Cricetulus griseus: one gene and its partners. The protein of the gene in region 2 interacts with the protein of the main gene of each other region in a biochemical or structural test. Links are inferred from orthologs where the notes say so. Each region holds a gene or a part of one and is shown on either strand. Other genes may lie near its edges. The genes, in order: Grm7, Pick1 and Prkn.

The links.
Region 1: the proteins of Pick1 (region 2) and Grm7 form a complex in vitro, tested with the Homo sapiens proteins (2 studies listed by BioGRID, with this or other methods). The link is inferred for Cricetulus griseus from reciprocal best matches to the Homo sapiens genes PICK1 and GRM7.
Region 3: the proteins of Pick1 (region 2) and Prkn form a complex in vitro, tested with the Homo sapiens proteins (3 studies listed by BioGRID and IntAct, with this or other methods). The link is inferred for Cricetulus griseus from reciprocal best matches to the Homo sapiens genes PICK1 and PRKN.

The regions. Positions count from the first base shown.
Region 1 is NC_048601.1:33,236,386-33,246,963, forward strand, and holds part of Grm7 (metabotropic glutamate receptor 7), read right to left. Parts: intron 2,824-10,578; coding exon 2,577-2,823; intron 1-2,576. UniProt on the Homo sapiens protein: G-protein coupled receptor activated by glutamate that regulates axon outgrowth through the MAPK-cAMP-PKA signaling pathway during neuronal development.
Region 2 is NC_048595.1:376,360,329-376,370,788, forward strand, and holds the end of Pick1 (PRKCA-binding protein), read left to right. Parts: intron 1-1,650; coding exon 1,651-1,704; intron 1,705-2,039; coding exon 2,040-2,102; intron 2,103-2,783; coding exon 2,784-2,917; intron 2,918-3,214; coding exon 3,215-3,307; intron 3,308-4,162; coding exon 4,163-4,213; intron 4,214-5,022; coding exon 5,023-5,167; intron 5,168-5,582; coding exon 5,583-5,854; 3' UTR 5,855-6,347; downstream 6,348-10,460. Other genes in the region: Slc16a8 (monocarboxylate transporter 3), read right to left, coding at 8,290-8,618, 10,375-10,460. UniProt on the Homo sapiens protein: Probable adapter protein that bind to and organize the subcellular localization of a variety of membrane proteins containing some PDZ recognition sequence.
Region 3 is NC_048595.1:289,989,328-290,000,333, reverse strand, and holds the start of Prkn (E3 ubiquitin-protein ligase parkin), read left to right. Parts: upstream 1-3,890; 5' UTR 3,891-4,038; coding exon 4,039-4,045; intron 4,046-9,009; exon of another isoform or gene 9,010-11,006. Other genes in the region: Pacrg (parkin coregulated gene protein), read right to left, coding at 3,284-3,439. UniProt on the Homo sapiens protein: Functions within a multiprotein E3 ubiquitin ligase complex, catalyzing the covalent attachment of ubiquitin moieties onto substrate proteins. Substrates include SYT11 and VDAC1.

The DNA of each region.
Region 1 (10,578 bases), on a different chromosome or scaffold from region 2:
TTTAGATTTTGGAGATGGTTTGAGTCATTCTTGGTTTTCAATATAATATGACATTATGACATTTCATAGCACCAGAACATTCTTGTCTATTTCCATTTACTTAAATTTCACTATTAGTCTTAATGTGAATTATGCATATTTGTGATTTCAGGTGACATATTCAAATACAATTGGACTTGATATCTCATTTTCCACATTACAAGCTTGTTTGGGAACATTTCAAATGATGTAGTGTAATTTTCATCTCAAATTATTTCATTCCTTTAAGCTATGTTTCTTTCAGATAAGCACTAATGCTAATATGACAGAGTCAGTCTCCACTATGGACTCTGACTGGACATCTCAAGATTAAACACTTGCCTTTATTATACCCACATTTCCAGATCTGTGATGTCCAGTGCAGTACTTATAGATACGGCTGGCTACTTATTTAAAACAGAGTCAAATAAAAGCAAGGTTCATTCTCTCATTTGAAAAGCTGCAGTTTCAGTTGCTTGAGAGACACTGGGGTTTATGCTGGCTGTATTAGACAACACACATTCAGAACACACTGTTGCCTGCTGACAGTGCTGTTGGATGACTTCACAGAAATGTGACCTTTCAATGCTCTGCAAGAGCTGGGCCATCAGAAACCCCAATGTTTAGAGATACATGAATCTCTTCATGTGGTTCAGACAATTTCTACTTATCTTTTATGGTGTTTTAGGGTAGTGGATACATAATTTTGGAATAGCTAGAAGAATTTCAAACATCTTTCAGACTGGTTGAGAGGGAAACACTGTATATAATTGTACTATTCTCTTCATCTTTCTTTCTTTCTTTTTCTGGAGTATTTGTTATGACTCTAGATACCAGAACAACCACACAGTCAAAAAAATTTTAAGGATGTCCAATGATTTCTCAGTGAGATTATTGCAATGATTCCAATTGCCACTACAATATCTGAATTTTAAAGTCAGTATGATAAGGCCTCTACCTGAACACCCTTCTCTAAATGTAGTTTATTACTGCCTGTAGACAACACAATAAGCAATGACATATTTCACATTACAAGTTTTAGCAAAGACAGTTCCCCTGGAAACACCTTCACCACCACCACACTACTACGAGCACGATCACTAGTGCCACTACCCACCACCATTATGAAACATAGTAGTAGTAGTAGTAGTAGTATTAAAGCTATATTACCAAGTAAGAGAGCCAAAAGGGTAATTTATGCATTGGGAAGTTGTCCTGGTAGTTATGTTTCAGGACACACAGTAGTAAAGAGGAACAAGCATGGATTTAGGAGTAAGACCTGGGTTAATAAAGCCTTGGATGCTAAGTAGGTCCATGACTTTGGCTACTTTACAGAAGCTCCTTGCAGTGAGGCTTCATCAGTAAATCGAGCATAAGAGCATCATCCCTATTATTGCTTGGCAGAATAAATGCAGTCTCTTCCATATAAAATTTCCACATGGTACATATTTCCAAACTGCCTGATGCAGTGTCAGTATTAATGATAGTGTTTACATTTTAGAAATTATTCAAATACTCAACAAGGATTGATATGAACAAAAGAAAGTTAGCTATAGTCAAAAGTTATTAATTCTTAAGCACTGTAGGATTAGTTGTCTGGATTTGTAAGTTCATATTTGTTAATTTTCAAAATACAAATATAGAGAAGACACTTTGAACTTTACTGCTCACTGACTTGGAGGAAAATCTTGTTAAATTTGTGTGCTTGTGCATATATGGACAGAAATATATGATTAAAGTTGTTATTAGAATAGAGAATGGATAAAGTTTCCATGATATGGAAATTTGGTAGAAGTCTATTGTAAATAGCTACAGAAATTGAACTATACAGGAAAACTTATCGGTATGAATAAAATTATGACTATAAGCAACACTGTCCACCTGGCTGTTGGGTATAAGACACAGTGTATTGAAGCTAACACTTCCGAGTCACAGCTGTCAGTTTTTGTTCTTCACAAAATGACTTCCTTCTTCAGTGTCTTAGGAGATACTTCCTCCAAAAGTATGTTCCCTTTAGCATGGCCGTCTATGGCCCTGTATACTTAAATGAAAGTTGAATAGCTTTATCCAATATTTTATGATTCTGTTTCTAACAGACTTGCTTTGAAATAATTTCTCCACATTCACATCTCTGTGGAAGGAAAACATGCTTCTAAAGTTCTTCAAATTTTTAATTTTACTTTTAAGGCTGCAGTTTACTAGGTATCGCTACTTCTCTAACTGGAAGTTGTTTTCCCAGAAGGAAATTCCTTCTAAGAGGAAGTCACTCTCCTAGTGGAAAAGGCCTGATAAAAGAGCACTGACAGACATGTTTATCCCCCCTGGGTGTTTCTGGAGCAAAGGACAAAGAGACAAGAGAATGAAGAGTGTCTTCAGAACCCTGAAAAGCTTTCTACCAAGAAAATGGTAGCAGAAATTAATCAAAACCAGAAGAGTAAAAGTTACCATTCATCAGGACAAAGCATATACAAGCTAAGCTTCCTCCAGAGAGCAGCAACACACATCATATTTTCTGGAAATTTCTCATACAGGATGGAAATATGAAGAGAGTTACTTACTGTTTGGGTCTACGTTTTCACAGAGTTCTGTCTTTGCCTCACCGTTGGGCCTGTCACTGGGTTTGTGTGACAGCCTTGATGACATGGTGGCTGCTGTGACTACGGCCTTGAAGCTTCTCTTTCTTTTCTGGACATTGAGTTCAGGGTGGAAAATGATGATGTACACTTTCGGCATGTATAGCATTCCCAGCGCCACTGACGCACTTAGGTTCATGGAGATTGTAAGAGTGGTAGTTTGTATGTAGAGCTAGGAGACACAACACACAAGGCACTATTACAAATGACCGCAGAGGGTACGTGAATTCTTAAAGTGGTGTCACAAATGACTATGGCTAGGAGAAAAACAGCAATCCCAATGACTTTCTGCTAAAAAGGAAGACAACTTGGCTATATATCTGTTTCAGAATTTAAGTCTATGTTTGTTAACATTGGGAAAATCCTTATGCATAAAGAGATCTTCTAGCCTGATGTTCAGGATAGACTTTTTATCAGATTTAAATTACTTTTAGAGATAATGATAAATATGAAAACATGAATTATAGTATATCATAGTAATCTGTAATCTTGAGTACAAGTTTCTTATTATTTTAAATCCCCAAACAAAATGTTTATTATATGATTTTCTATGCAGAGATTCTAAGATATTATTTGAAAATTACTTCCATTCATAAATTCTTCTTTTGTGTCATTTTTGTAACACTGTGCACCTTCGCCAAACATACAGAGTAGTGATCTAGCCACTTTGGGTTATATGTGTTTTTTAAAGCATAAAAGTCAAGGCACAGCATCTAGTTATGACTTTTGATTCTGTTCACATTGGTAAATTGCTAATTAGATAATACCTCTGCCATTATGTTATTTATAGTTTGGATGGTAACCACACCCTCATCATCATAGCTTTGAGCTGTGTATTCAACCATATTAAGAAATCATTTCCTGTCCAATTCATAGAGCCATTGTCTCAGTGAATAGGCAAAAGTCTAAGGACATGTGGTTTAATGCAGTCTGTAAGGGGAGAGTCACAAACATCATGTGTATCTATGATTATGATGTGTCCTCCTATGATCTAGCGCTCCTTAGAAATCACATATGTCTGACTTATGCATGTGTTCTAAAGGCTAGATTAGATGAGGCAACTTGTAACCCTTACCTTATGTATCAGTGCAACTCCTAGGTACTTGACAATGGATTGGCCTGTGGTAGTCCACAATCCCTACTTACTTGCTGGAGTCTATTAAGAGTCCTTATGATTCTATATGGACTGTACCTGACTACTTTTTCAGATGAATTTCCTACCATTCCCCAACTCTCTGAGTTCCGCCTTCCTGACTATTCATCCTTGTGGACTCTCTTTCAGATCTTGCATAGACTTTGTTCATACAATCACAGAAGCTTTTTACAAGTTCTTTGTATTTAAGTTCATTAGCTTCTACCTGGCCTCTTTCTCCTTTACTTCTTAAAACATTTTCCCTGAAATTGTTCTCACCCATTATCTCTTTATTTATACATTCTCCAAGGAAAGTTTCCTGTACAGATTCAATATCAAGTTGTAATTATATTCTTAATTCCTTGATTTTCGACTGTCCCATCTGTACTACAGGTTCCATGAAGTTAGACTCTTTCTGGAGGCATTATTCTCTACTTAATAGACAAGTGTAAGGATACTACATAAATGTATGATGGATAGAATCACTTGCTTTACAACTCTTTTTTACCCATACCTCAGTGATCACATATCCAATCTTTAAAAATATAAATATTTCCATCATATCTAACCAAAATTTTGGTATTTCAGATAAAAATACATGAGACCTTTCCATCTTGCTTATTATGTTCAAAACCCTGGATTTTGTCTCTGAAGAAAAAAGGTTAAATAGAAAGTATTGAGGTACATAGTTGAGAAAGTTCAGGCTATACATATTCTACATATACAAGTCTATAAAGATCAAACCCATGAAATTTCAGGAAATGAGCCAAGTTGTGGACATCTTAGCATGAATGGTTTGCTTTTAAGCCTCAAGTTTTCATTTTGATGTCACATTTAGTACTTGCTTTTAGTAATGTAATTTATAACACTTTTAATATCATGTCAGTCATCAGTTCACAAGATGCTTATCATGTAATAATGCACTATCCTTGTTAATCTCAAGGATACCACTTTCTTATGACTAGCTAATTAACTCATCCAAATAAATGAGTTAGTAACCATTGTTAATCCTTTTCATTAGAGAGTAATTGCCCATGTACACATAGCCCAACCTCTTCTGGGACTGCTCCTTCCTTCAGTCCAATCCTACCATGGCTAACTGAGATTCTGAATAGTAAAAAAAAGAATATCCTTCACCTTGTCCAAAGTTGCTTAGGTCTTTGCGAAGAGCATAGATAGCCTTAGAATTTCCACCTTTATGTATTCATCATTAATCTAAATAAATTTCCAGAAACCAGCTTCAGTTACAGGGTTAGAAGTTGTTTTACTTACATTCCCACTTAGGTACAAATGCTGAGCAAAGCAAGCCAATGTCTGTGCAAATTATTTACAGCAGTTTTCTTAAAGACTCATACATGACAACACCTACTGTTATAAGGATTCTCTTGATCTTGACTTTTTTTTCAACTCTAAAATGAACATAATAGCAGATCCTATCTCATTGGTTGGGGATCAAACTAATGAATGAGGAGAGAAATCACTGCGATACTAGCAAGCAATGAGCCTGTGGAATTTCTGCTACTACTCCTTACTTCCTGCCACATTAACTTGTGGTGGAAGGGATCTTATGCAAACATTTCTTCTTTAGCCACTTCCAGGTATTTTAAACTTAAGGATATATGTGATGTTTAGGTTTGAATATCTACAAGGGCCCATGCTATTCCTGCTGAAGCAGATGGAAATGGAGCAGAAAACAGGTGAGACTACAATGCACAGATTTAGAGATAACTCAATGCCAGGCAAAGCTCAGCTGAGTCTACCCCATGCATCTTCTGGCCTATCTCTATTAGTACGATAAGATGTGGGGGTATATCATATGATGCCTTCACTATTCCAGAACTAATAGCACTATTAGTTGACTTCTTGTCTTTGATATGCTAAGAATTTGGAAAACTTCAGTGTTCAATCTGTCTTTGACAGAAGCTTAATATCTCCCACTGATCACATTGAAATGTCACTTTAATCAAAGCTTTGTGTTTCTCCAGGAAAGGAAGAAAATTGTCATAGAATTGAAATACTGTTCGCTAGGCACAAAATACTTCCTGTACTCATGAGCTATTGAGCTTCACCCTCCCACCCCAGGAAAATGTGAAAAAACATTTATTCAATCCACATAAGGCACCAAGGACAGTTCAGAGAAAAGGTATTCCACCCAAGTTTACCTTGGTAAGTTAGAAAGTATATTGGTACTACTTATAGGAAAGTCTCTGAAATGCCAACTACAGCATGAATGATGACTCCAGATCCTGTCCAGCTTCCTGTCCTCCTTGTTGCTCCACCTAAGGGAGTACTCCCTTCACCAACAATTGCCTGATCCTTCTATAACCTTGGGAACAGCCTTTAAGAATCTTGTAACTTTCTGAGGTTCCTGTGCCCCTTTAGATCCTGTAGCTTCCTGAATCTTAGAACTTCCTTTCCACCTCCAGGAGGGAATGTTGTGGTTTGGAAGAAACAGCTCTACAACACAAGAAAGCTGCCAGTTGCTTTGTTAAAAGTTTTAGAGCCAGTTTGGTTAAAGACAAGCTTGGGATGTTTCAAAGCAAGCTGTGAATAGCTGCAAGGGTAACAGACTTGCAGCTCTGGGAATTATGATATTCTTAATATGCCTCAAAGACATTAAGAGAATAGAGGAAACACAGGGTTTAGAGAAGGAGAGAGAAGAGCCACGGAGAAAAACAAATTTCTGATTTGGAGAGTCTATTTTCAACAAGAATTATAAAACAAACTGGAATGTATTTATACATGTGAATCTTCATTAATAGCAGTTCATTAGAAAAGACTTTGAAGTAATTAACTGATGTCAAACCACTGACATAGGAGACACATCCTAAGTATATGCTATGCATCCACTATTATATGGTTTTTGATCCACTGGGTGTGAGGCATCTTTTTCAATGTCACATCAAGAATAGCATTTCACTGAGCTCCTGCTGTGTGCCTACTGTGGATCAGGTGCTGGGTTTCATAGATATACATATATAAGTATGAATGCATACATGTATACAGATACATGCTCTGCTATCAGGAGCTGGATTATAATAGCAGACGCAAAGCAATCAGAATTCCTTTAGGAAATGGTGACTGTAGCTAATAGCTGTGTATTCTGTACTTACGAAGCACTACGAGAGGACATTTTCAGTTTCATTACCACAAAAAATATATCTGTGAGGTAATGTAAGTTAATAGTTGTATTTAGCCATTCCATAATTCAGATCTTTCAAAGCATCTTGTTGTAGACAAAAACATGTGTAATTTTATTTGTCAGTTAAGCATAGAGTGTATAAATAAATATTAAATGACAACATAATGTAAGGCCTCATTATATCCCTTTTGTCACTGTGCATTGGTCTCTGCTTACTTCCACTTGAAATGCCCTCTGCTTTCCTGCCCTGCCTTTGGGGCCTTGCTTACATCTGATGTTCAGTGGTGTCCCTTATACATACAACTTTCCCCATATCCATAGTCAACAGCCTTTTTTTTTTTTGGTATTATTCAAGTAGTAATCTCCTTGTTCTATCTAAAATAGTGCAGTCAGTGTTCCCTAAAATTTGGTAGGATCATGCAAATTCAAGGCACTTTGCATATGTGAATGCCCTGGCGCTATGACTTCTTGCACATTATCTGCACAAGCTAAATAAGATTCCAGCATGGATGAGGGCAGATGGTCATGACATCTCATCCCTAACTGAGGAGCTATTGGCAAATGATGGCTGATGGGAGAAAGTGAGTTTTCTTCAGAGATGTAGCCTCTGACAGCCTACTCATGCTCCAGTAGATGACCCTATCTATAGCTACAGCCATACTAAATGGGCTCTGAGAGCTTAAAAAATAACACACAAAATAGAAAAGAAATGCTGCTGTATAGGCAGGAAGCAGGAATTATAGGGGAGAAACAAAGATTAATTTGAGAAAAATACATTATATAAATGGAAGAAATGTTCAATAAAAAAGGAAAGAAATTTCCCAGCTAATGATCAAAACACTGAAAGAGGAGAAAGAAAAATGTAAATTTATCACAGAGCAATGGAGACATTAGAAACACCTTATGCTTTACATGATTTTTGCACATTCGGGGTTTACTCCACAGGAAACACCTGTCGGGCATATAAGTCCTATTGTGGGATATTGGTATACTGTGTGAAGATGTATTGCTGGCATGGGTGTAATAGAAAGCTGAACGGTCAATAGCTAGGCAGGAGAGTATAGGTAAACTTCTTCACAGAGGGAACTCTGGGAAGAGGAAAGGCAGAGAACCAGCAGGACGCGAAACAAGTCAGACATGCAGTACAAAGAAGAGGTAAGTGAGCCATGTGGTAGAAGCAAATTAATAAAAGCAGGTTAATTTAAGTTAGAAGAACTAGTTGGGAAAAGGCCAGGCTTTCATAACTGATAAGTCTCTGTGTCATTGTTTACAGGCTGGTGGTCCAAGAAAGTCTGATGAGAAAGCTCATTACAAAGCTCCACCTAGATGAGTCAAGTTGTAGGGGACTACATACGAAGTGCACACTGTTTCAGACATCTATAGCTACTGTCTTCCCCAGCCTCAATGCCAAATCCAAATGCCCACCTCCTGGTATCCATTTCTTTTTTAAATAAGATAAAGCATCACATTGATTGGATGCTTTATGCATTTATCAGGTATTTCCTAAGATAAATTCAGTATCTGTGCATTTTGTAATGTGTTTTAACTCTCACCCCTCTAATGCATGCGTGTGTGTGTGTGTGTGTGTGTGTGTGTGTGTGTGTGTGTGTGTGTATGTGTGTGTGTATGAGAGAGAGAGAGAGAGAGAAAGAGAGAGAGAGGGTACAGAGAGACAGAGAGAGAGAGACTTACGATGTCAATGGTTACCCTATCCATCATGCAACCTTTCCATTCATCCCATGGTTTACAAGGTGCACTATTGCCACCAATGGTAATTCCTTAAGAAAAACATATGACATTTTTAGGCAGGGCTGACTAGGTAATCAACAAAATGCCCTTCACTGAGTATGAACTCTATGAACTTTGATTAATGGAAAACTTCAGCCTTTGAACCAAGAATTCAGTGTGATAAACTTCTTTGGCATCCAGCATTGTTCCTGTCATTCCTAGTCCCTATTTTCCATTATGAGTGTGTATCAGTCTGCTCCTTACTATTGTGAAGATTGTGATTGCTGTGTCATAGACTGTTGCCAGGCTCAAATGATACAGCCATGGAAAAGATAGAGAATAGTGCCAAGCAGGCAATGAGCACTTGATCAGAATGCTAGTATCATAGTCTCATTTATTGGCTAATACGTCAAACAACCTGCTTTCTGTCCTGCTCTTTTTCATTCATTTTTCCTTTTTTAAAGGTTTAAATTAGAAACAAGCCTGTTTTCATGTTAATCCCGTTCCCTCTCCCTCCCCTCCTCCCCTATCCCCAGCCAACCCCCAATCCCATCTCCTTTCTGCTCCCCAGGGAGGGTGAGGCCTTCAATGGGGGACCGTCAAATTCTGTCATATCATTTGGAGCAGGGCCTAGACCCTCCCCCGTGTGTCTAGGCTGAGAGAGTAGCCTTCTATGTGGAATGGGCTCCCAAAGTCCATTCGTGTACTAGGGATAAATACTTAATACAGCTCGAAATGACTCTTGTATAGAGAATCCAATGAATAACAGCTTGTTTTGAGAGGACTGTATTAAATTTACTTCTGGTTTGTTTGGAAATTTACTCAAATCCCAATTTCATTTGTCATTGACTATTTTGTGCAATTTTGTCTGCTCCCAGGTGTTGGCTGAGAAGTGAGATGAAGGAGCTTCATGGGAGTCTTCAGGTGGCTGGAGAAGCTTCAAATGCTTCTCCCAGTGGAGAGCTTGTGTAATAGGAATAAAAATGCTGCTTGATGGTGTCCCTGTGAAGAGTGTGTGCTATTACCTAGCATATATTTGAAGTATTCATGGGGCTAAATTGAAATAAAAGTTGTTGGCAGTAAATATAGGTTTTTTTTCAGTATTTAATAACCATACCCCTGATGTCAAGTTAAAGTGGTCATACCATTCAGAAGCAAACAATGTTGCATGGCTGGGAAGGGGACAAACTGCTCCCAGTTAGATCCTCTTGATAATCCCAAAGTTTGACACATGGAAGGCCTTCCTTATGTATGAAATAACTGTCTATTATAAAAGACTCTAGAATATAATGAGGGAAAGACTTTTTTTAAAAAGTGGGTATTTTTAAAAAGGTATTTCACCTTTTAGTATTTTTTATTTGCTTGCTTGTTTTGTTTTGCTTATGATTTCTGGTTTTTAGATTCAGGGTTTCTCTGTGTAACAGTCCTGGTTACCCTGGAACTTACTCTGTAGACCAAGTTTGCCTGAAACTTGGAGATCCACCTGCCTCTGCCTCCAAAGTGCTGGGATTTATGGTGTGGGAATATGTTTCTTTAAAGGAAAGAAGGGATTTGTTGTTAGAGCTGACTGGAGCTCTTGGTCTTCCGTTGATGAGGATGAATATGGGAAAGCTCCTTCAAGTCTAGCAAGTGAGAAAGTAAAGATTTCAACCCACGAGTGCTGCCAGAGGGTCTGATGTGAACACTGTCTCCTTCTGCTGTCCTGTGGAAACTGTTCTCAACAATTGAGAAGAATGAAGGAAATTGCATGAAAAAGTTCATACAGTGAGTGGCATGGGACAGTTGCCTCAGGAATGTAAGTTGCAGTTTTAGATAAGATGGCCTAATAACCTTCAAGATGTGTTTTTCCCCTTTAAATCCCTACTCAAAATAGAGATACTGTAGGAAGTCTGAGATAGGCCTAGGGTTATTGGATTGATCACAGG
Region 2 (10,460 bases):
CCAGCTTTTCTTTTCTTTCTTTCTTTTTTTTTTAAAGAATTTTTTTTATTAGTTCAAATTAGGAACAAGCTTGCTTCACATGTCAATCCCTTCTCCCTTTTCCTCCCCTTCCCCCCAATTTTTTTTTTTTTAATTTAACTTCTTTATTGATTCTTTTGGAGTTTTACATCATGCACTCCAAATCCTGGTTCTCCCCATGTCCTCCCCTCATCCCTACTGTGCCCCCACAAAAGAAAACAAAAGTAAGCAAGCAAGCAAGCAAATAAAAGCAAAGACAAAACAAAACAACAAAAACCCCTCAAAACCAAACCAAAACAACAACAAAGAAAAATCTCTTTGCTTCTCCTTCTTTCCTGCCTTTCCAATACCTCTTCATTTGTATTGGAGGCTTCGGTGTGTCATCCAGTATACCCCTTTATCCTGTCAGCTTTACTGGCTTTGCAATGAGTCACTGGTCTGGTTCAAGGCCTCTGGTTTCTGGTACACCATCCTCACTGGATCTTCCCCAGAACTCCTCTAGGATATCCTCTGGTCATCCTGAGTCATGGAGATCTGGGGGTATCATTCCACAGGACTAGTTCCTTCATGAGCTCCAGTAGATCCTAGATGGGGTAGATGCTAGGGTAGGCCAACCCAAGGCCCGACTGTGGGCCTGGGTGGTGGTAGCCAAGATGCTGACAAAACTTTTATTGGGACGCCACAACACATGTCTGCTCACCCAGATTGGGAGCCCACGGCAGACCAAAGTACAGATATCACCAAGTCCAAGCTGGTGAATCAGTGAGCTTTATTGGGATCATTGACAGGAACAGAAATGACTCAGAGACAGCTACATTACCAGGACTCATCCCAGCATGGGTGACAGCTCACAAAGCTGGGACCCTGGAGCACACTGCACATCCTGCAGGCAACTCAGCAGGTTGGAGAGTGTCCTTCCCAGGTGCCTCAGTTAGTCCAGACCTCTTCCAGGTAGCTCGTCTTGTTTCTGCTTCTCTCAGGCAGCTTGTCTGGTCTCCCTTCCGAAGTCTAGCTCAGTCTGGGAGGATCACTTTGGCAGCCAGGGGTCGAGTGACTCTGCCCAGTTTCAGGGAGAACTATGTACTTAGTCTATACTTGTTTGGCCATTGGCTGTGATCAGCAAATTCTAGTGAGAGACCTTCCTCCAAGCCCTCCTAAATCCCTTCTCCCTGACCCCAGCCCATCCTGTGCACTTGTCAAAGCCAGCCCTGGCCATGATCAAAAGGCTCTCCTCCTCTCTAACTGCTGTGTAGGGAGCCTTTGCTGCTGGCCCAGGATTTGCCTTCTGGGCCTATGGGAAGCTGCCCTTGGGTGCGGCCTAGGGAAAACCCACCCTCATACACTTAAGACTTTGGAAAGAGCTACACTGAAATGGCTGTCAGCTCCTAGATTGCCCCAGCCAGTGGTAGGTGGAAGGAGGCTCCTGACACGGGTCCTGAGCTAGCTCTGCCTGGCTCTAATTCTCTAGGTTTGCAGGGAGTTGAAGAGTAAACCCTGAGGCCCAGGCTTCCTGGTTTTTGGCAGAGGCTAGTCCTCAGGGACTACCCTTCACTCTCTAGCCTAGCCTCTGCTGGGCTGTTGTCCTCCCTGGCTTGCCAGGCTCACAGCCTCTCCTGTTCTTGACCTCCACAGATGGGCTGGTAAAGCGACTGGAGGAGCTGGAACGCACTGCTGAGCTGTACAAAGGTAGGTAGGCTACCTACTGCTGGTCTACCCTAGGGACCCCTGTCCTAGAGAATGGCACTGGGGCAAGGAAGCTACCTAGAAATTTTTGGAAAGAGTAAATGTATCAGACGCCCCTCCAAATTCCTACAGTCCCAGAAAGACTGTCATATATAAACCCAGCTGCTTGTTACATGGAATCCACATAGAGGGCCAACTCAGCCTTCATCCCCAGGCCTTGGGGAAGACCCTGGGACCTAATGACCAGTGAGGACCTCAGGTCCTCACTTAAAGGCTGGGGGCCAATGTGATTCCTAATTTCCGTCTCTGTCTTCTGTCACTTGGGTCTCTTCCCACAGGGATGACGGAACATACCAAGAATCTCTTACGGGCCTTTTATGAGCTGTCGCAGACGCACCGGGGTAATGGCATCCCCAGACATGCCATGTGACCCTGCAAACCCCTGTCCCTCAGGGCTCAGTAACACCGAACAGTGAAGTATGGCTAGATTCCTCTCTGGGGCTCTTTTCATCCCTATGCCAAGGCCAACTCCCAGCTCTGACCTCCAGCCTGACACCGGGTGGCAGTGACCATGGAGCATCTGGTCCAGCTGGCCTTTGGAGGATGCCATGTATCTCTCGATGCTACTTACAGTGCAGGCAGCCTCTCTTCATTTTGGTCTCTTCAGTACCATGGTGGACAGTAAAGACACCAGCCCATTTATTGGCCAGGAAGGGAAACCCAGACAGGAAGTGGATCCTGAGCTTACGGTGGCAGAGCCTGGCATTCCAACCCAGGGGTCTAGAGTCAGCCTGGTCCTCTGCTCTTGCCTAGCATGACCATCTTAGATTTTCACTTAGCCTTTTGTCTGGCCACTTGAGGGAATAAAAACTAGCCCCTTGGGAGCCTAACCCCAGAATAAGGATGCAGCAGCTACTTGGGAGTATGGTCTAGGCCTCTTGAAGTTGTACCTCCTTCGAATGTAGACCCTTTGAGCAGACCTTGGCTTTCTGCTCATCAGGCCCCTGTCCTGCTGCCCAGCAAGCCCCTGGCTTCTCCATTAGGGGGTCAAGAAAGGGCTTTAAGGCAAACTTGTCATGCAGCCTTTGGGGACGTGTTCTCTGTGATTGGGGTACGGGAGCCGCAGCCAGCAGCAAGTGAGGCCTTCGTGAAGTTTGCTGATGCACACCGCAGTATTGAGAAGTTTGGCATTCGGCTACTGAAAACCATCAAACCGGTGGGTCCCTCAGAGTGCAGTATGTCCCACTGGCCAGAACAGGAGGGACAGCTTAGCACAGGAGGGGTTCTGGGCTGGAGTCAGGTGCCAGATGCAGACACCTCTTGGTCACCTCTATGGCTGGCCAGCCATCAGTTACTGTGCCTCCCTGGGTCCCTTTGACCTCAAGACTCTGCTGGGTCACAATGTGCCCTAGGCCTGACATAGTCTTCTAACCTTGACACATGCCCTTTGTCAGATTTCCAAGTCCACTGGAAGGGATGACACATCTGTGCCATTTGTCACCCAACCTTGTAGATGCTGACGGACCTGAACACGTACCTCAATAAAGCCATCCCTGATACGCGTCTCACCATCAAGAAATACCTGGATGTGAAGTTCGAGTACCTGGTGAGTGGCCTACATTGCTTGCCAGCTGGGGTGAGCCCATCCTGGAAGCCAGCCCTGAGACAAGCAGCCATGACATGGCAGGCAGGATGGGGCCAGACCTCTGCTGGGTCAGGAGTGTGGGGTCAAAGGCCTGACTAATCAGAAGCAGCCTAGACCCTGAATTCCCACACCAGGGAGCTTGGAGCTACCTAGAGCCAGGAGAGCTCTCATTCTATATTGTGTCTACTCCTTGGAACTTGTCACCTTTAGCAACAGCTCAGACTAGGTCTGGGATACTTCAAAGGACATTTGGAGTCCTAAATGATAATCCTATTGTCAAAGAAGCCTAGAAGATGATGTGTTAAGTATTTAGGCTTCTTGCTGTGGCACTTCTCAGTGCTTTGACTAGGCCTGTGCACATGTCTTCAAGGAGCTCCCAAGCTCTTTTGTTCCTCCAGCACCACCGACACGATGCCTTTTGGATCTTTCCTATTCTGGAGATAGAACCCCGGGCCTTAAGCATGCTAGGCAAGTGCTGTACCACTGAGCCACACCCTGCAGTCCCCGGAGCATCTCCTTAGACTTGAATTTGGTTGCTTTGGGATTTCTCAAGCCTTCAGGCCATTGCACCTCACAGAGGAGTGCCTCGTCCCTCTGCTGCCCCTTTCCTGGGCCTCTGTTCATGCCTGCTTCTAGGCTTTCCCAGGTGGTCCAGACCTAGGTGGCCTATGTGGCCACTGCTCTCTTGGTGTGTCCAGGTTCCCAGGTGACCTGAGGGCATAGGGAGGCAGGGCAAGAGGGAGCTGGAATTATGAGGATGGGCATCCAGGAAATTTGGCCACTGACTTCTGGCCTCACCCATCCCATCCCATACAGTCCTACTGTCTAAAGGTGAAGGAGATGGACGACGAGGAATACAGCTGCATTGTGAGTACCAAAGGGGCCCAGGCTGGTATCAGGAAGGCTTGGGGTGCCCACACCTCACCTTCAGAAAGCCCTGGGTCTACCAGAGGTATTGGGTGTGTCAGGCATGCTGGGGTCTTAGTTTGGGGCTGTCAGCCCATTTAACCAGCTCCTCTGGATTGGAGTACTAGCTCATTTGCCATGAAGTGACTGACTCCCCGGGCCTGCTCTAGACCAGGTACCCCAAGTTTGTGAGGCTCCTATGGGAAAAAGCTGACTGATTTTACTTCTGAGCTATGCTTTGATTTAAAAAAAATAGTTGGTGTTTTTGTTTTTATATATAAGTGTTTTGCCTGTGTGTGTGTGTGTGTGTGTGTGTGTGTGTGTGTGTGTGGGTGGTTCCATTTTCATGGCTGATGCCTGTGGAGGTCAGAAGAGGGTGTTGGAACTAAAATTACAAACAGTTGTGAGCAATCATGTGGTTGCTGGTAACTGAACCCAGGCCTCTGCAAGAACGAGTACTCTAACCGCTGAGCCACTCTCCAGCCCCTGATTGTTTTTTGTTGTTGTTTTTGTTTCTAATTTGTGATTTGTTTGCAGTCAGGGTCCATCTTTTGGCCAATATTCATTTATTTCATGTGAGCCGTGTTCGTGTTTCTGTGGTTGATTTTTTCTCCCTCCAAAGTTACTGTTTTGAGCTTCTGTCTGTCACTGGCATCTGAAAGCCCATTGTGGTACAGCTGTGAAGTGGGCCAGCCCTGCAGTTTTCCAGCCCCATCTGTCCTGGGAGGCCCAGGTCAGCCCAAGAGAGCTGACAGGCTTGCCTGCCCCAGGCCCTAGGAGAGCCCTTATACCGAGTGAGCACAGGCAACTATGAATACCGCCTGATCCTGCGCTGCCGCCAGGAGGCTCGAGCCCGCTTCTCCCAGATGCGCAAGGATGTGCTGGAGAAGATGGAGCTGCTCGACCAGAAGCATGGTGAGGGGCTCTAGAGGCCTGTGCGCTACCTTAGTTGGTTCTTTCTTGCCACTTAGCCCCCAGGGTGGGTGCTGTTCTCTCCCTAGATCAGAGATGAGGCCTAGAGAGGGTAGTCTCCCAGAGGCCTCAGGACCAAGCCCTGGTAGGAGTCCACCCAGAGCCTGGCTGGGTTGGGGCCAAGGCTTGGGTCAGTGATCTACTCACTCAGGCAGCCTTCTCTGTTTCCTGAGCTAGGAGTTTAGAGGACTAGGTGGCCAACTAGGCAGTGCCAGGAAGCCTTTGGCTGTGCCCCTTTGCACCCTTCCTAAGGCCTGGGGCCCGGAAGTGCCCCCCAGTGGGAAGGAAGGCCAGCTCCAGGTCTTCCCTGTGAGGAGGCCGCCATAGCCACTGGGCCTGTCTCTCACCTCCTGCCCAGTCCAGGACATCGTCTTCCAGCTGCAGCGCTTCGTGTCTACCATGTCCAAGTACTACAATGACTGTTACGCGGTGCTTCGGGATGCCGACGTCTTTCCCATTGAGGTGGACCTGGCACACACCACTCTAGCCTATGGCCCTAACCAGGGTGGCTTCACTGATGGAGAGGATGAGGACGAGGATGAGGAGGATGGGGCAGCTAGGGAAGTGTCCAAGGATGCACGTGGGGCCACTGGGCCCATGGACAAGGGCGGAAGCTGGTGTGACTCCTGAGTGCCCCCTCAAGTGGACCTGGGGGGCAGGGCAGCGGGAGGACCGCGTCGGGAACGGGGCGGGGCCACTGTAGGACAGTGAAGGCGTGTAGTGGCGCATAAAGGCCTGCTGGCTCGGGGCGCCTGCCTCCCTGCTCCTCTGTCCTCGCACAGTGAACCCAGGCTGCAGCCTGGGACCTGGACTCTGGCCCCCGTCCTTCATTCCCACCTCCCAGCTGGAGGGAGAGCTGGGCCTTGGACAGAAAAGAGGAGGGGCTGGAGCAGGCAGAGTGCAGGACCTGTCCTGTGAGTACCTCGGTGGTGCCAAGCCTGCAGGGAATGGGAGCCGGGTGGACATCCGAGGCTGGGGCCAGTGTACCAGGCCGGCCCCCCCGAGTCCACATGCACACCTTGGCAGCCTATATTTATTTGTTTCTGGCTTAGCCTCAAGGGCTGGATGCTGGGCCTGTATTGAATAAACAGAAACCCAGACAGAATGGATGGGCTCCTTGCAATGGCTCAGACCCTCCTCTGCAACCAGATCTCAGCTGCCTCCTGGGTCATGAGGGAGGGTGTGGGACACAAGGCTTAGGCAGTTTTCTCTGTGTCCATCATTCATCTCTTGAAGCACCTACAGGAGCAGCTTTCTTGTTCCCATAGTGTCTGGGGTTGAGAGGCTCAGGACCATACATGAGAACAATGGAGCTGAGCTTGAGTCTGCAGGTCCCAAAGCCTTGACTGTCACCTGCTCCCACAACTTCCAGCATCATTGAGCACTCTCCCTTCAACCCTTTCTGTATACCTGGTGATGAAGTAAACCTTTGTTTGGGCAAGGGGTCAGGACAGACACTGGTCAAGTGATAAAAGGCTGGCGGGACTACTCCAGGAGTACCTGTTCAGTTCAGGCCCAGGGGCACAAGGGAGATGCTGCCGCTCTTAGGCAGTAGTCTGGCTGGCTGCTTTGCCTGGCTGGGTGTGGCACACACCTGCAACACTTTTATACTGAAATTCCCATTAGGACAAGGATATGGCCATCTTGAGAGCAGAAGGGGAAGGAATGTGCAGAGTTGGCAGGGTCCAAAGTGGAAGAGCAGCTTTGCTTGGTAGCTTTGAGCTCTGCAGTCCTGCAGAGACCCAGGTGGGACTGGAGGGAGATAGCCTATCACCATCCATCCCATGGGGTCCAGCACTGCATCTTTGAAGAGACATCCTGTTAGTGATCACGGGCACAAATCAAAGCCAACAGCTTGAAGCTGGGCATGGCGGCCCATGTCTTTAATCCTAGCGCTTAAGAGGTAGAGACAGGTGGATCTCTGAGTTTGAGGCCAGCCTGGTCTACACAGAGAAACCCTGTCTCAACAAAAAACAAAACAAAAAATTACAGCTTGGGCCCCAACAGTGGCCTCTGTACCCTGGGCTGATTCCTACCCTCCTCATGTTTCCCTGTGTGAAGTGTGGGTAAATTCTACCTTGTTGGATTGTTACGAGAATCAGTGAGATTCATAAAGGGCATAGAATAGTCTTGACCAAGGTAGCACTGTAGGTACATGCTTAGATAAGATGCCAACCCTTCTGGAGTCTGGGAGCCACAGATAATGGAAGTCAACAGAGCATTGCCTGGATTCCCCAAACCTTGGACGGAAATCATGAGGCCCAGCTGGGAACAGTAGTTGGGAAGGGGCCATTTGTGGGAGGGATTCTGCTGAGGTCTAGCTAGAAGAGTTGGGAGTGAGACAGGAAGGTCCTCACACGGGTCCAAGTGCAAGTGTTGTGAGTGATAGTGGACATCTGTAATCCTGGCACTTGGGTAGCTGAGGCAGAATCTGAGAGTGGTCATGGCCCACAAGTCCCTGTGGTAGAGAGCAGGTGCCAGGGCCACTGATGAACGGGCTGCCCACAAAGCCACAACTATGTCCTCCAGGAGTGACAGTCACTAGAGATCCTCTAGAGGGGTGGCCATTCCAGGCAGTGAGGGGACACCCACACCTCGAGAGTCCCTGAGGTTTTTTCTGCTGACCACCTAGCTCCCATGCTCTCTGGAATTGACTCTGAAGTCTACACATGAAGACGACCCAAGATAGGTCTCCACTCCTGACCCTGACCTTGGGCTCTGCTTCTCGTTCAGATGGCGGCCAGGTGTGCTTCAGCATACAGCATCCCCAACAGCCTCTAGGTCTCTAGTGGGGTTCCCCCAACCATTCCTACTGAACTCCAATGGCTCTTCTTACCCCTCCCCTAGTTCAGGTGGCCCAAGCCCTGGCAGAGAGAGGTACAGGAGCAGAATTTGTCTTTCGGTAGACCTTTATCTTGTGCACTTGTCGGTCCACAACAGCTTCACTGGGAACAAACAGCCTGGCAGATGGGGTACCCCAGGAACCACCCCAGGCTGCCTCCCCATGTACCGGGTCCTCAGAGGGGAAGCTGTGTTCTCATGCCCTCTGGCCACCTGCCTGATGTCTACACAGACTCGTGACCCAGCCCAGGCACTTCCTCCACCTCTGGTTCTGGTTCTGGCCCTGGGGATCCCACCCGGGGGCTCAGCACCTCCAAAGCCTCAAGACTGCCAGGCTCCTCAGTGCTGGCAGGCATTGGCTCAGAGTCTCTCTCGGCCTCCACATCCTCGGTGTCACTGGCTCCTCCCTCAGCAGGTAGACCTGATGGGGTGTCCTCAGAGCAGTGCAGGCAACAGTAGGTGGCAAGTGCCATGAAGACTCCTGCCAAGGCCACCTCAGAGCCAGCAAGGTAGAAGATGATCTCATAGTTCTTCAGGGCATCCACCAGGCGGCCTGGGGAGGGGGGAGGTGTCACAACCTGTCAGGGTCTCCTCTGTACTAATTGGATGGGACTTAACTGGTGACACACATATGCCCTATCTTTATTCCCGATTACAAATGCAAAACTCCACATGGATCCTTTCTTGTGGTGTCCCAAATGTCTTCCCCTCCCCTCCCCTCAATCTAACACTTCTGAGGAGGTAATATCGTATTATATTATGCCTTATAGTATACAAGGTTTCCCCCTCCACATCAATGCGAGTCCGCAAGTGACTTGGCCTGCTTGTGGGTGTTAGGGTGGCAGTGGGACTGGACCCTGCTTAGCTCTGGCTAGGACTAAGGGCTTCCCAACTCTTTGTACATAATCTGGCCTATAGGATTTGGCTCAGCATCCTCATCAGGAGCTACAAGCCATCCAAACAGAGCTGGTGAGGCGCCTCAACACAGGCTGGGGGTGTAGGGCTCTGCCTGTGCTCCGGAAGAGGCTTCATATCCTTTCATTGTCCAGGCTCCTTTCCTGGGCACAGTATCTCTGTATGGACGGAAATCTCTGGTTTTGTTTTGGGGGATTGAACCCAGGGTGCCACACATGCTAGACACATGATGACCTGCCACAGCTACATCCCAGTTCCCACTGTGCTGTTCTTCCATGGGCTTCACGTAAGAGTATTCCTTTGTCTACACCAGGTTGTGATCTGCAGGAAGTTTCCTGATGACTATAAGTTCACTCCATCCAAATGTCTCAGTCCCTCCCCTGTCTGGCCATACTCAGCTTTGGGGTGTCCCTCACTTTATCAACAAGCCTGCCTTCTTTCCCTATTAGATCGATCTAACAGCAGGTGGTCCCTGGGCTTCTGCGTGGGCCAGCCTTGAGGCTTTTTGGGTGGTGGACTTGAGAGAGGGTACTTTGGTTCAGGGGCTTTGCCTTTTTTACTGTATCAAGCAGGCAGATAGAGTGCTTGGGACACTGCCATCTGGCTGTCTCTGAAGGAAAGCTGGCTGCTTACTCCATCTCTGTTGCAGCCTGGGCTCCATCGTTGCTTCCTCTCTGCTATTCACTTCTGAAGCCTAACTGTGGCTCTCTCACTTAAGGCTGGCTCCCTGCTTGTTCAGTATAATCGGACAACTCAGGAAGGTCTGGGTGTCTCGGTCTCAGTCTCCACCTTTCCCATCTTAGCTTAGGCCTTACTTGTTCAATGATACTTCACCCAAGCAAGTCCCCAGCCCTTTCACACTGTGCCCCACCCCCTCACCTGCAGAACTACACCAGGATGAACAGAGGACCTGACAGACCAGCACCCCTACTCTCCCCCTGTCATCTGAGCACCCCTTCTATGTTCCTAGTCAGGGCTGGTTCCCTGTACTGCCTTACAGGCTGGGACTAACGCCCACACACATTCAGAGCAGGTTAGCTCTCTGCGAGGGCAGATCCGGGCCCACAACTCAGGCTAAGCTTCCGGATCTAACCCCTTCCCCGGCCCTACCCCCCGTGCTAACTGCTTGAGAAACCTGACATGCCCAAAACGTCTAGCCACATGGCTAGATGGCTATTTGTGTATTTCTTCTTGAGACCGACCTCTGACTTTTCCATCCTCACCCCTGGGGGTAGTCCCTGATTCGGGGAGGAGTTCCCTGGCTGTAGAGGGAGTCCACCAACCAGGCTTTCCAGCAAGGGGGGCTGCCTTCCCCTCATTCCTGGAAGTTCTATCTAAAGGGCTTCCCTTACACAACAGGTCCCATGTTTAGCCACCCTTCCTACGGTGCGCACCCGCAGAGGGCGGTCCTATGAGCACCGCCACGGCCTCCACGAGCAGTACCAGGCCCAGCGCACTGGGGAAGCGGGGTGCACCCACA
Region 3 (11,006 bases), about 86 Mb from region 2:
GTGATGAGGCCCCATCAGCTAATTGCTCCTGGGTTCCACCATCATTAATACTTTCACTGGATGGAATGAGTATTTGCAACCCTAGCTATGGATGCTTAATTGTTTGTATTGTGACTAGGTGGACTTATCTTTGTACTTCTCTTCACTCTAATGTACCATCTTTAGCACTGACAGTCTATGACTTGTAATTATCCTCAGTGTCCCATCTCCCTTCTGCTACAATAATAATTGCAAGTTTGAGACAGCCAAATTGCTACCAGTTAGAACCCAATACTTCCCCATCCTGCTTCCAACTAGCTGCGGCTTTAAGACTCAACTTTAGCCATGGACTTAAGCAGAAGTGATAGGAGCTGCTTCTGGGACATACATCATGAAACTTCTTGTTCTTCTCCGCTGGCTGTGTTGTTTTTGCTGGTTACTGAAATTTTTTCCAACATGTCTAATATATATATATATATACATATATATATATATATATATGTATATATATATATTAAAGGTTGTATTCTTTTGGAATTATATGGTTTTCTTAGCCTATTTTCTGATGGGCCTATAATCAGGGCCTACAAATAACATCATCACAGCCTTGGATCCATATTCTAACTTGCAGTTGAGTATATGTTTGAGACAGGGTCTCCATATGTACTGTAGACTTCCTTTTAACTTCATTTGTAGCCTAGGCTGTCCTCAAGGGTTGATCCTCCTTCCTTTGCCTCCTGAGAATGAGGTTATAGTGTGCTTACTATGCCTGACCTAACTTGATTTTTTTTCCTTTTAGAATTTTGTACTAGGATCCAGCACACAGATGATACATTACATGGTTTTCCTTCATTTCTTCAGAATAGTGATTAGATAAAATTTCGCATGCCAATAGCAATTTGGCACTGTATGTGTGTGTGTGTTTTTAATTATTTTTTATTAGTTCAAATTAGAAACAAGCCTACTTTACCTGTCAATCCCTTCTTCCTCTCCCTCCCCTCCTTCCCCACCCTATCCACCCTCTGCTCCCCATGGAGGGTGAGGCCCTCCATGGGAATCCCAAGAGTATGTTATATCATCCTGGGCAGGGCCTAGGCCCTTCCCCATGTGCCTAGGCTGAGAGAGCATCCCTCCACATGGAATGGACTTCCAAAGTCCTTTCTTATGCCAGGGATAAATACTGATCTACTACCAGAGGCCCCATAGAGTGTGAGGTCTCCTCATTGACATCTATGTTCGGGGGTCTGGATCAGTCCTGTGCTGGCCTCCCAGACATCAGCCTGGGTCCATGCACTCCCCGCTTGTTCAGGTCAGCTGATTCTGTAGGTTTCACCAGCCCGGTCTTGACCTCTTTGGTCTTCACTCCTCCCTCTCTGCAACTGAGTTCCAGAATTCAGTTCAGTGTTTAGTTGTGGGTGTCTGCCTCTGCTTCCATCAGCCACTGGATGAAGGCTCTCAGCAGAGGTCAGGGTGGAGGGGGAACCCCTAACTTGCTTTTTTATAAGGAGTGTAAGTGTATAAATGGTCCACTTTTAGCTACATAAGCAAATAATACTGGCTAAGTAGTTTTTGGTCATCGGCTCCATCATCATACTCTAAGAAGGAAAGTAAACTACAGATATTCAAATCTTGTATGTTCTTTCAACCTTTAATGGGAAACATTCTATCAATATGAATTTGGATATTATTGTTTGATTGAAGGTGTTTGAGATTGCTTATTTTTATTGGGACCAAAACAGAAGTTCAAGCAACCAAAAATAAAACAAACCAAAAAAACAACCCCCCCCCAACATATACTGCTTAAGACCACTTGTCATTGGGATTTTAAGAAACTATAATCACAAATAATAAATGTTTACAGACATCATCACTTCATAAATAATTTCCATAATTCTTAGGGCATATTCTGTGTGTTTTTCTTGGAAGAAAATTGAAATACTACTTATTGAACTACAGTGTTGCAGCAGGAATGCAAGGTGAGTGAAACACCTGAGAAGTGGTTTTGGGTTGGCTTTTGGAACATGTGGCTGAAATTAAAAGATGAAGTTGGCATATATGTCTGAATGGAAGTAGACCTTCAGAGGGAGAGATGTATATACCTTAGCTTTATAATGTGACAAAATCTACATCACAGAACTCAAAAGAGGTGAAATAAAAGTATTGAATATAGAAACAACCTTTCCTGTTTCCTGTAACTCTGCAGTTTTTTTCAGACTGTTTCAAAGAATTTTAACTACTGTAAATCAACCAACAAACACACACAAAATAAAAATATGATTCTGTTTAACAACATAGGAATCCAAGCTGCAAATCTACAGGTAATCTACTTTATTTGTGTCTTCTAAGTATGTGTTTAGAAAAAGGCAGTATTAAGCTTGCAATAAATAAGTAAAAAAATTATGGGACAATGGAGAACACTATTAAGGTAATATATTGAATAATAAGGTCCTTTCAAGTTATAAATTGTACAAATTTGAAAATACTAAATTACACACATTCTTAAGCAGTGCTTACTCAAGAGACAAACTTGGTTTAGCATACCAAATTATAGGCTATTTAATAAGAAGGATTAAAAGCAGTGTTATGCATACAGCTAAACCATTTGTGTGCCTTTAAATATTTTCCCCCATTCGTGTTAGGAATATTTTATTTTTATAACCCAAGTAATAAAAATGAAATAGGGCTTGTATTGGTAGGGACACTTGAAATACAGCTAATATTATTTAAAAAATGTATTTAAATGGCCTATCAGGAACCAGTTTTCACATAAGTAGCTTTTGAACACTACAACAGACTAATACCCCTTTGTCAGATGTTGTTGAATTCTAAGACATTCTAAAATGTTCCAGATGAAACAAGTTACTTTAGATTATTGATGAGTTTGTGTGTTCCAGCTATACACTGCTTCGTGTTAAAATTTCGAAAGCCTATGACTTCTAAGAATTCTCACTCTAGAAGGCCCTTTGCTGACTGGAACCAAGTTAAGTTGCAAGAAGGAAAAGGATTTTTTCCCCCTTCTAGTTAAAAAGCTTAAGTATAATTTGGGCTTAGTGGTGAAAGCACAAGTTCTCATGAAAATGCTTGTAAACTAGCCCTGGACATTACCTGTCCTCAAAGCTATCTAACCATCTGGTCTACCTCTCTGCATATTGGTGGGCACGCTTGGCTTACTGATAGCCATTGCCAGTTCTGGCAAACAGAACCCAGTACCTGGGCTGGGAATCCATCCCGGGGCCTGCCAGGCTCTACAACCTCGTGTCCCCCGACTTGGAGCAAGTGTGTTCAATTGAGGAAGATCACTTACGACTGAGTTTTTCATCATGGCTTTGACTGTGAAGCCCTCAGAAACCAGGGAATGAGGCTGGTGCACCGGGAGCGGCTGTTGTGGCAGCAGTTTGGTCCTCTTCGGCATCTTGTCTGGGCATTTATTTAAGGTCAGGGTCTCTTTTTCTGCCACCATCTTCCCAGGATACGTTTTTGTTCTTATCAAAAGTGTGGTAGACAAACCAGTGGGCTTTACAGATGTGAGCAGGAGGTCAGGGAAAAATGTAAAAAAAGCGAGTTACAGGTTTAAATCCAACCCCTCGTGGTGCCCAGAGCGATCCAGATGTTTGGCAGCTCCAAGGTGAAGGGAGTTTAGGGGAGGGGAGGGGCGGGAAGAGGACTGGGACCCGAGGCTTGAGCCGCTACAAGCTTCCAAAGGTGAGCCTCCTGGTTGCTAAGCGACTCGGCAACACTACTACCCGATAGTCCCGCCCCTTCGTGACGCACATTTCCTGGGTTTGAATCCGGAAAGGGCGAACGGCAGAAGCCCGCAGCCGCCTTAGGAGCTCAGGAGCGGCTGTGGGGGCGGGGAGACTCTTACGCGTTAAAACTACGACTCCCAGCAGGCACCGCGCGGGGGGCAGGCACGCACGCGCACTGAGCCTGCCGGGCGCGCGGGGTGGTGAGCCGGGGATGACTGACTAAACCTGGGAGAAACGCTGGTGGGAGGCTCGGGCGGGTGCCGGTGCCCGCGTAGGCCGTGCTCGCCCCGCAGCCACCACCCACCCGGTGACCATGATAGGTACGTGGGTGCCTGCCAGGTACAACCTCTCTGCGCCGCCCCGCGCCCGTGTGTGGCGCCACGTTGTCACACCCCGCGGGTCCCAGTGGGCTCCTCGGGGGCTCGCCCGAGCCACCTGTCAGTGTGAGGGCGAAGGCGTGTGCTCCTCACTCCGTGGGCCCCGGGGGCCTACCAGGGGCCAGGCCGGGCCGGGCCGGGTCGGGTGTGTCTTATAGCATACGTTGTGTGAGCGTCCAGTCCCCACCTCGCCCTTGCCAAGGTTAGCCCGGTGCTCCCTGAAGATGGCATCCCTGCCGACACCCGGGTGCACCACAGCGCCCCCCGGCGGCCGGGCTCGTCCTGCCCGACCGGCAGCAGCCTGGCGCTCTGCCACCCCTGGGTGATAACCATCCCAGCTCTGATTTCTGTTTCCCTTCTGGTCCCTGTCCTTCACTTTAGGACAGGTTTAGACACTGCAGGACTTGAAAAAGCCCCCGGGAAGCACTGGACTGGTGGAGATAATGGGTTTGCAAGAGATTGCACTTTGCTCCTTGAGTTCTGCCTTACTAAATGTCTCCTCGCAGATCTGAGGCGAAAAGAATAGCCGAGAGTAGATAATAGTACAGATGGAGTCTTTCCACCGAGTGCAGCTGCATGAGTGTGGCTTTGGAAGCGGCCGCTAGGGTTGTTATAAGCACCGTGAAGTAGAAGGTCCTTCTCGAAGATGTCAAACTCCCAGTCACTTGGGGTGTTCCCCCAGAATGAGTTGAAATGCACAGCCGTGTTGGGCGATCATTCCTGTTTGAAGGTTTCCTTTCTGTAGACTCCTGCAATTGGTGTCTTAGTGAGCTTGTTTGTGATAGACGCTCCAGAAGTATCACCCTGAGCACATTTGAAGGGGATCTATCCCAGATGCGCCTAGAAGACAGGTGACAGGTGGCTTTATGAAATTAATGCTTTACGTGATGCAAGCCCCTAAGTCTGCTTTTACTTATGAAAGTAAGGTTAAAGTGTGCAGTCTACCCCTCACTGGGGGAATCATGCCAGGTCACCAACATCCTCATTGAGGCAGAGGTACAAGCTGAAGATGCCCAGCTCTCAACTTTGGTAGGGTAGTGCGTATTTCTGGTGAATGAATTGGAAACTTGTGTGTAGAGAAGCTACGTTTTTATGAATCTTACTGAGCCTGTTAAGTGACGTTTACTTAAAATCTGATTGTAAACACAAACCTGAACCGAGTCCGTGAACCAAGTGGGAGAGATTAGGAAAAAAAAAATTATGGGAGATTTTACAAGAAAGAAATAGCTCATATTTTGAAGACAATTGCACACATGTAGTTTCTTCCAACTTAGTTTACGGATGATTTTGAGAAGCAAATGTCCCATAAAGCTATATAAAGACAGAAAGTTAAGAACTAGAAATAATTATTTTTGTAAAGAATCTAATAAATTATTATTATAGTAGTAACTTTTAAAATGGAACACATTTAGACAGTTTTAGTAAGGTTTATCTGGAACTGTCTTAAGAAGTGTGATATCTGGGCGTCACAACTAAATCTATTACTGACAAAAAACAAGGGAAATTCAAGGTGAATTTTAAAGCTGTTCATTTTCTTTCTCTCACTACTGTTGTTGTAGGGTGAATAAGTGTATATTCCAACACAAGTAATTAAACCCCTGTCCCTCCACCCCAAGAAAAGGAACTTACTTATTAATTAAACTGCATAAAGAATGTTAAAATAAATGAATTATTTAGTTCAATTAGTTTTATTGCCTAGTTCCTTCCAGGAGTCATTTTTCGTTGTGACTAATCTTTGAGCCAGGAAACACAGACAGTCTTTATCCAGAGAAGTCTATTGCAGGTCAAAGGACACATAAATGCCTCTAGGAACTGAACAGTGTCTTATCCTGCTCAGCACGACACAGAGCTGATGCCTTTTATACTTATACTCTCCCACCTTGCTGTATATCCTCCTAGTGCAGGCAATAACCCACTCTTACACTGAAGTCCTTGCTTTCCTTTGAGAAAAACATGGATTGATTTCCTGGCCAAATATGAGAAAGGGGAACAAATACTTCATTACCCATAAAATAATTTCCCTTTTATTGTCTCAAAATAGAGGGTTCCCATTTTGTCATGGAGATGGCATTAAAAGTACTTACATTTCCCACTTGGATATTATGATTTTCATGTTAAATGCCTTGACCCAGACAGACTTAAAACATAATTTAATTGAAGTCGATGAAAAAGTCTGCCATTTCGAGGCATGGAGAAGGGATACACAATAATGAAATGCTTCAGAAAATTTAACTGACAAAAATGTAATTTTGAGCACTTCTTTTACATTTTTTAATCTTTAAAAATGAGCACTTCTTTGTGTTTAAAATTGAATTTTGGTGGTGACAATTGTGAATTGCTCTAAATGTCCTATACATTTAGGCATTTGATAATATCAGCTATTAAAGCACATGGGTTCTCATACAATTAAAGTAGGAAGTTCTTAAATTAAAACCCAGTTTTTGAAATAGAAATGTCACTCAGTGATATATCCTAGGGTTCATAAGACTGTGGGTTCCATTCAAAGGTGTTGCACTTTTAATTGATTAAAGTATTATTTTCTGTATCTTGTTAAAATCTTCTAGAGAATTTAACTGCATATAAAGATCACACTCATTCCTGACCAAAGTCAGATTTATAACATACATTAATTATGAAAGTATCCTCTCTTCTAAATGAGTGTACAGCAATAATACAGCCTTTCAGTGTGCATACTGCACAGGTGTCTTTTGGGGGCCCTGTCCTCTCTGACAGTGTAGAATACATTTTATTTATTATCACTTGCCAGAAAGTGTTTTTTATTGTCTTGTTTATAGATAAAGGGTAGACATTTTGCTTTGAAAATGAGTTTTAGGAAAATTAATTCATTTTATAATGATTTAGTTTTACAAAAGCAGATTCCAGCATTGAGCATGTATATGTGTCTGGTACTGTTAGTAGGTGCCAATGATACAAAAATGGAATAAACAGAAAAAAATGCTTTGTCATTGTAAATATTCTATCTATATTGACTAATGGCCAACATCTGGCTTTGTTTTAAAACTTGTATGCAGGGATTTCTAAGTCTTAGAATTCCTAGTTGTAGTTGGATACACTATGCATTGCTATTTGCCCTGTTGCTTTAATAACATTAGATGAAAGAAACTCTACATCTAAATACTGTTTGTTCTGAGGTGCCCTTGTACCTCTGTGTTACAAAATGAGTTCTACAAAATTTTGTATAGAAGAGTTTATATAATTTTATTCAGTTCTCTTTTGGGTCCAAAGCCTCTGAAAAAACCTTATGTCCTTTACAAATGTTCCTTCTGTTTCTAAAGGTTTTTCTGAAGTCTGCATTTTTTTTTCTTTTTAATCCAAAGCTCTATGGCTTGAAAATGATACAGTGGAAGTACTTGGTACTAAGATATGCAAATCCATCCCTACCTCTAAAGCTTCTTTGAACCCTCACCCCACCCAGCCCCCGAAAAAGGAAAAAGAAAAAGAAAGAAAGGAAGATATTTCAAAATGCTTAATATTCATGAACCAGGTTCAATGCAAAATACTTTCTTCTGTTAGCTTTCAGTTCTTTGATCAATGAGAATTGTTTCTTACCTCCTGTTTCTCTAGCCTTTAATGGTAGCCCAGTGCTTATTCAATGTTTCTGTTTTAATTTGCATTTAATGAGCTCATTTTAAATGTTTCTTTGTAGTAATCTGAATTGTTTCCTTCTTACATTTATAATATTAAAGACTGAGACTTATATGACAGCTAGCTGATTTACATTACAGCCCCCATCATAGCTTATTGACTTCATCTTATAGAGGAGAACTGTGGTTAAAAGGAATGCACTTGACAGTACTATTTCCCCTAGGACTGTATTTCCTGATCACTTAGGATTCTATCAAACTGACCCAGTCTTTTCACTCCCCTCTCATTAAAAAGCATGTTTTTGTTTCTTGAATTAATAGATATTTCAATTGACAGTGATCATTCTAGTATCAATTCTTTGTAAGGACTATGTTAGTTGGTGCTGCACAGGAATATTCCGTGTGTGTGTGTGTGTGTGTGTGTGTGTGTGTGTGTGTGTGTGTGTGTGTGTGTGTGTTCTGTAGGGAAAAACACAGAAACAGGAAACCGTTTATCCCCATGAGTTGAGTTGTGATTTACTTGAGTTGATGGCATGTGCATGTGGTACAGATTTTACCCTGTCCATTATAGAAGCAGAGTGTGGTGTTTATATTCACCCTATCACATGAGAATTGTGTTTCACTGTGTACTCAATTTAGATAGAATCTCTATAATGATACAAGCAGAATAATAGGATGAAAGTCTAATATCAGACAGTACCCACTCTTGTTTATTTAGGAATTGATAAGCTGCCCAATGGGTAGACAAAAGAATTTCTTCTTTTGTTTTGATGCCTCCCCCACCATAATTTTCTAAATTTGTCTGTTTTTTTTTTTTTAAATATGTTGTGGATGGTATCTGCCATATCTTACTACATGAAGACTTTTTGTCATACTTTCATTTTCATCATTTTGATTTCAGAGCAGTCACCAAACAAACCGATTGTCAGTTATGGATTGCTGAAGTTTTACAAAGTATCCATATGCTGGCCTTTATATGCCTATGTTTTATGGTCATTGTCTTAGTGAAGGTTACTATTGCTGTGATAAAACACCATAACCAAAGCAACTTCGAGAGGAAAGGGCTTATTTGGTTTACACTTCCACAGCACTATTTATCCCTGAAGCACATCAGGGCAAGAACCTGGAGGCAAGAGCTTATTCAAAGGCCGTGGAGGGGTGCTGCTAACTGGCTTGCTCTCCATGGTTTGCTCAGCCTGCTTTCTTATAGAACCCAGGATCTCCAGCCCAGGATGGCACCACCTGCAATGGGCTGGGCTCTTCCCTATTGATCTCTAATTAGGAAAATGCCCTACAGGCTTGTCTACAGCCTGATCTTACTGAGGCATTTTCTCTATTGAGGTTCCCTCCTCTCAGATGACTTTAGCTTGTGTTAAGCTAGCACAAAACTAGCCAGCACAAGCAATAAATATATCATAAACTCTGTTTTGTTTAAATGTGGGAGGAACAATTCTGAAATAACTTTTCTGGAAGTCTAATTTTCCCTATTGGATCAAGTCATTGTCATAATTATTTGCATATACATTTATTAGGAGTAATTCTAGCTTCTCAATCAGTTTAAACATTTTATAACCAATAGAGTACACACTATGGAAGTCAGATTATTCAGCGCAGGGGTAATGACACCTTTTGAGGTTGCTGTTGGATGAGGTAATGACTTTTTTGAGAATGATAGGGTGATAACATTAGTGATTCAAGATTGATAACTATGTATGAATTCTTAATTATTAAAGAGATTTATTTAAAAGGTTCAAACACAAGAGCATAGTTGCCATAACTGAAAAGTACATAATAATATTTTATTTCTATGTATGAAATATTGGAAGTGTATACCCAAAGTATTATTTTGGAGCTGTAAGAATTTTTGGAACTCTAGTATTCAACATACAATATTTTGGAACTGTTCAAAAGCAACATGCTATGCAGCATCCCTAAGAATAAGACAAATGGGTCTGGAGAGATGGGCCATTGGCTGTGCATGCTTGCTGTGCATACTTGAAATAAAGTTCAGATCCTAGCTCCCACATAAACATTCAGGCAAGATGCTGTGTGTGCAACCCAGTGCTCTGTGTTGGAGTACCTTGTAGGGAGGAGTATCATGTGCTTGCTGGTTGTTGGCTGAGCTCCAGATTAAGTCAGGTAAGGCAGAGCATGTGGAGCAGGACACTTGATGATGTCTGTGCAGCTGTGCATACACCACACAGATAGGCATACAGAGTAAAACGAGTGCACCATTGTTGTAATGTGTATTGCATTAGTTATACTTTCACTGTTAACTAATGTCAGGAATTTTTTAAGCGGTAATACACAAAAAACCATTTTATGTTGTGATTTTAAATGTAGAGTTTTCAGGAAGAGAAACATTAGAACCACTGTTTCAGTTTCTTTAATCACCAGTTTTTCTTTATGCATTTTGGAGGCATGTCTCAGTTACTCCATTAATTTTTCATTGCTGCTATAACAAATTACCTTGTTTCATAGCTTAACAGAAATTATCCTGTGGTAATTCATGAGATCGTTTATTAGCATGCCCTCCTTTTGTAGGCTCAGGGCCGGGGGCCCCTCCTCTACCTGGAGAAGTACTTGTCCTCAGCGTTCACTCTCCTCTGCAGTCACACTGCTGCTGCTGTGGCTGCCTTCGCCTTCCTCTTCCCCATTCTTTCCCCTTCTCATCTCTCCTTTTTTCTTCCTCTTCTCTCCTCCCACTCCTTACTTCTTTCCTGCTCCTTGTTTGTTTTGAAACATGTTTTGTTTTTTTTTTTTCTATGTAGCCCAGGCTGGTTTTAGTCATGAGATCCACTTGACTCAGCTCTTCTGGAGTTTGTTCAGATGGCAGGTTTACCTTCTTCACAAGGGTCTGATTTCTTTTGTCTTTAGGAGTACTTGTGGTTACATTTAGGGGGCACCTGGATACCTTCTTCTCCAGACCCTTGAGTTAACCTCATTTGTAGTTTCCTTTTGTCACATTTGTAGCATTCACAGGTTTCAGGAGCTGGAATGTAGTCAGTTGGGGAAAGTGTTATTTATCTACCACTGTAGGCAGTAATTATCATTTGAAAGAATGGTTGATGTAGAATGACAGGTAGAACCCATTGAATTGACATAATAATGATAATTGTTGTTGTTTGTTTGTTTTTGTGTGTCATTTTAATGTCATGCAATAATGCAGTAGTGTTGCATGTAAGGAGTCTAATCTTTCCTTCCACCCCTCCATAGACTAATTGATAACAGCAGCCAAGGGCATAGCTCACTTTTCAAGACAGTTTTCCCATGTGGCAACAGAAATGTGGATACTCTCC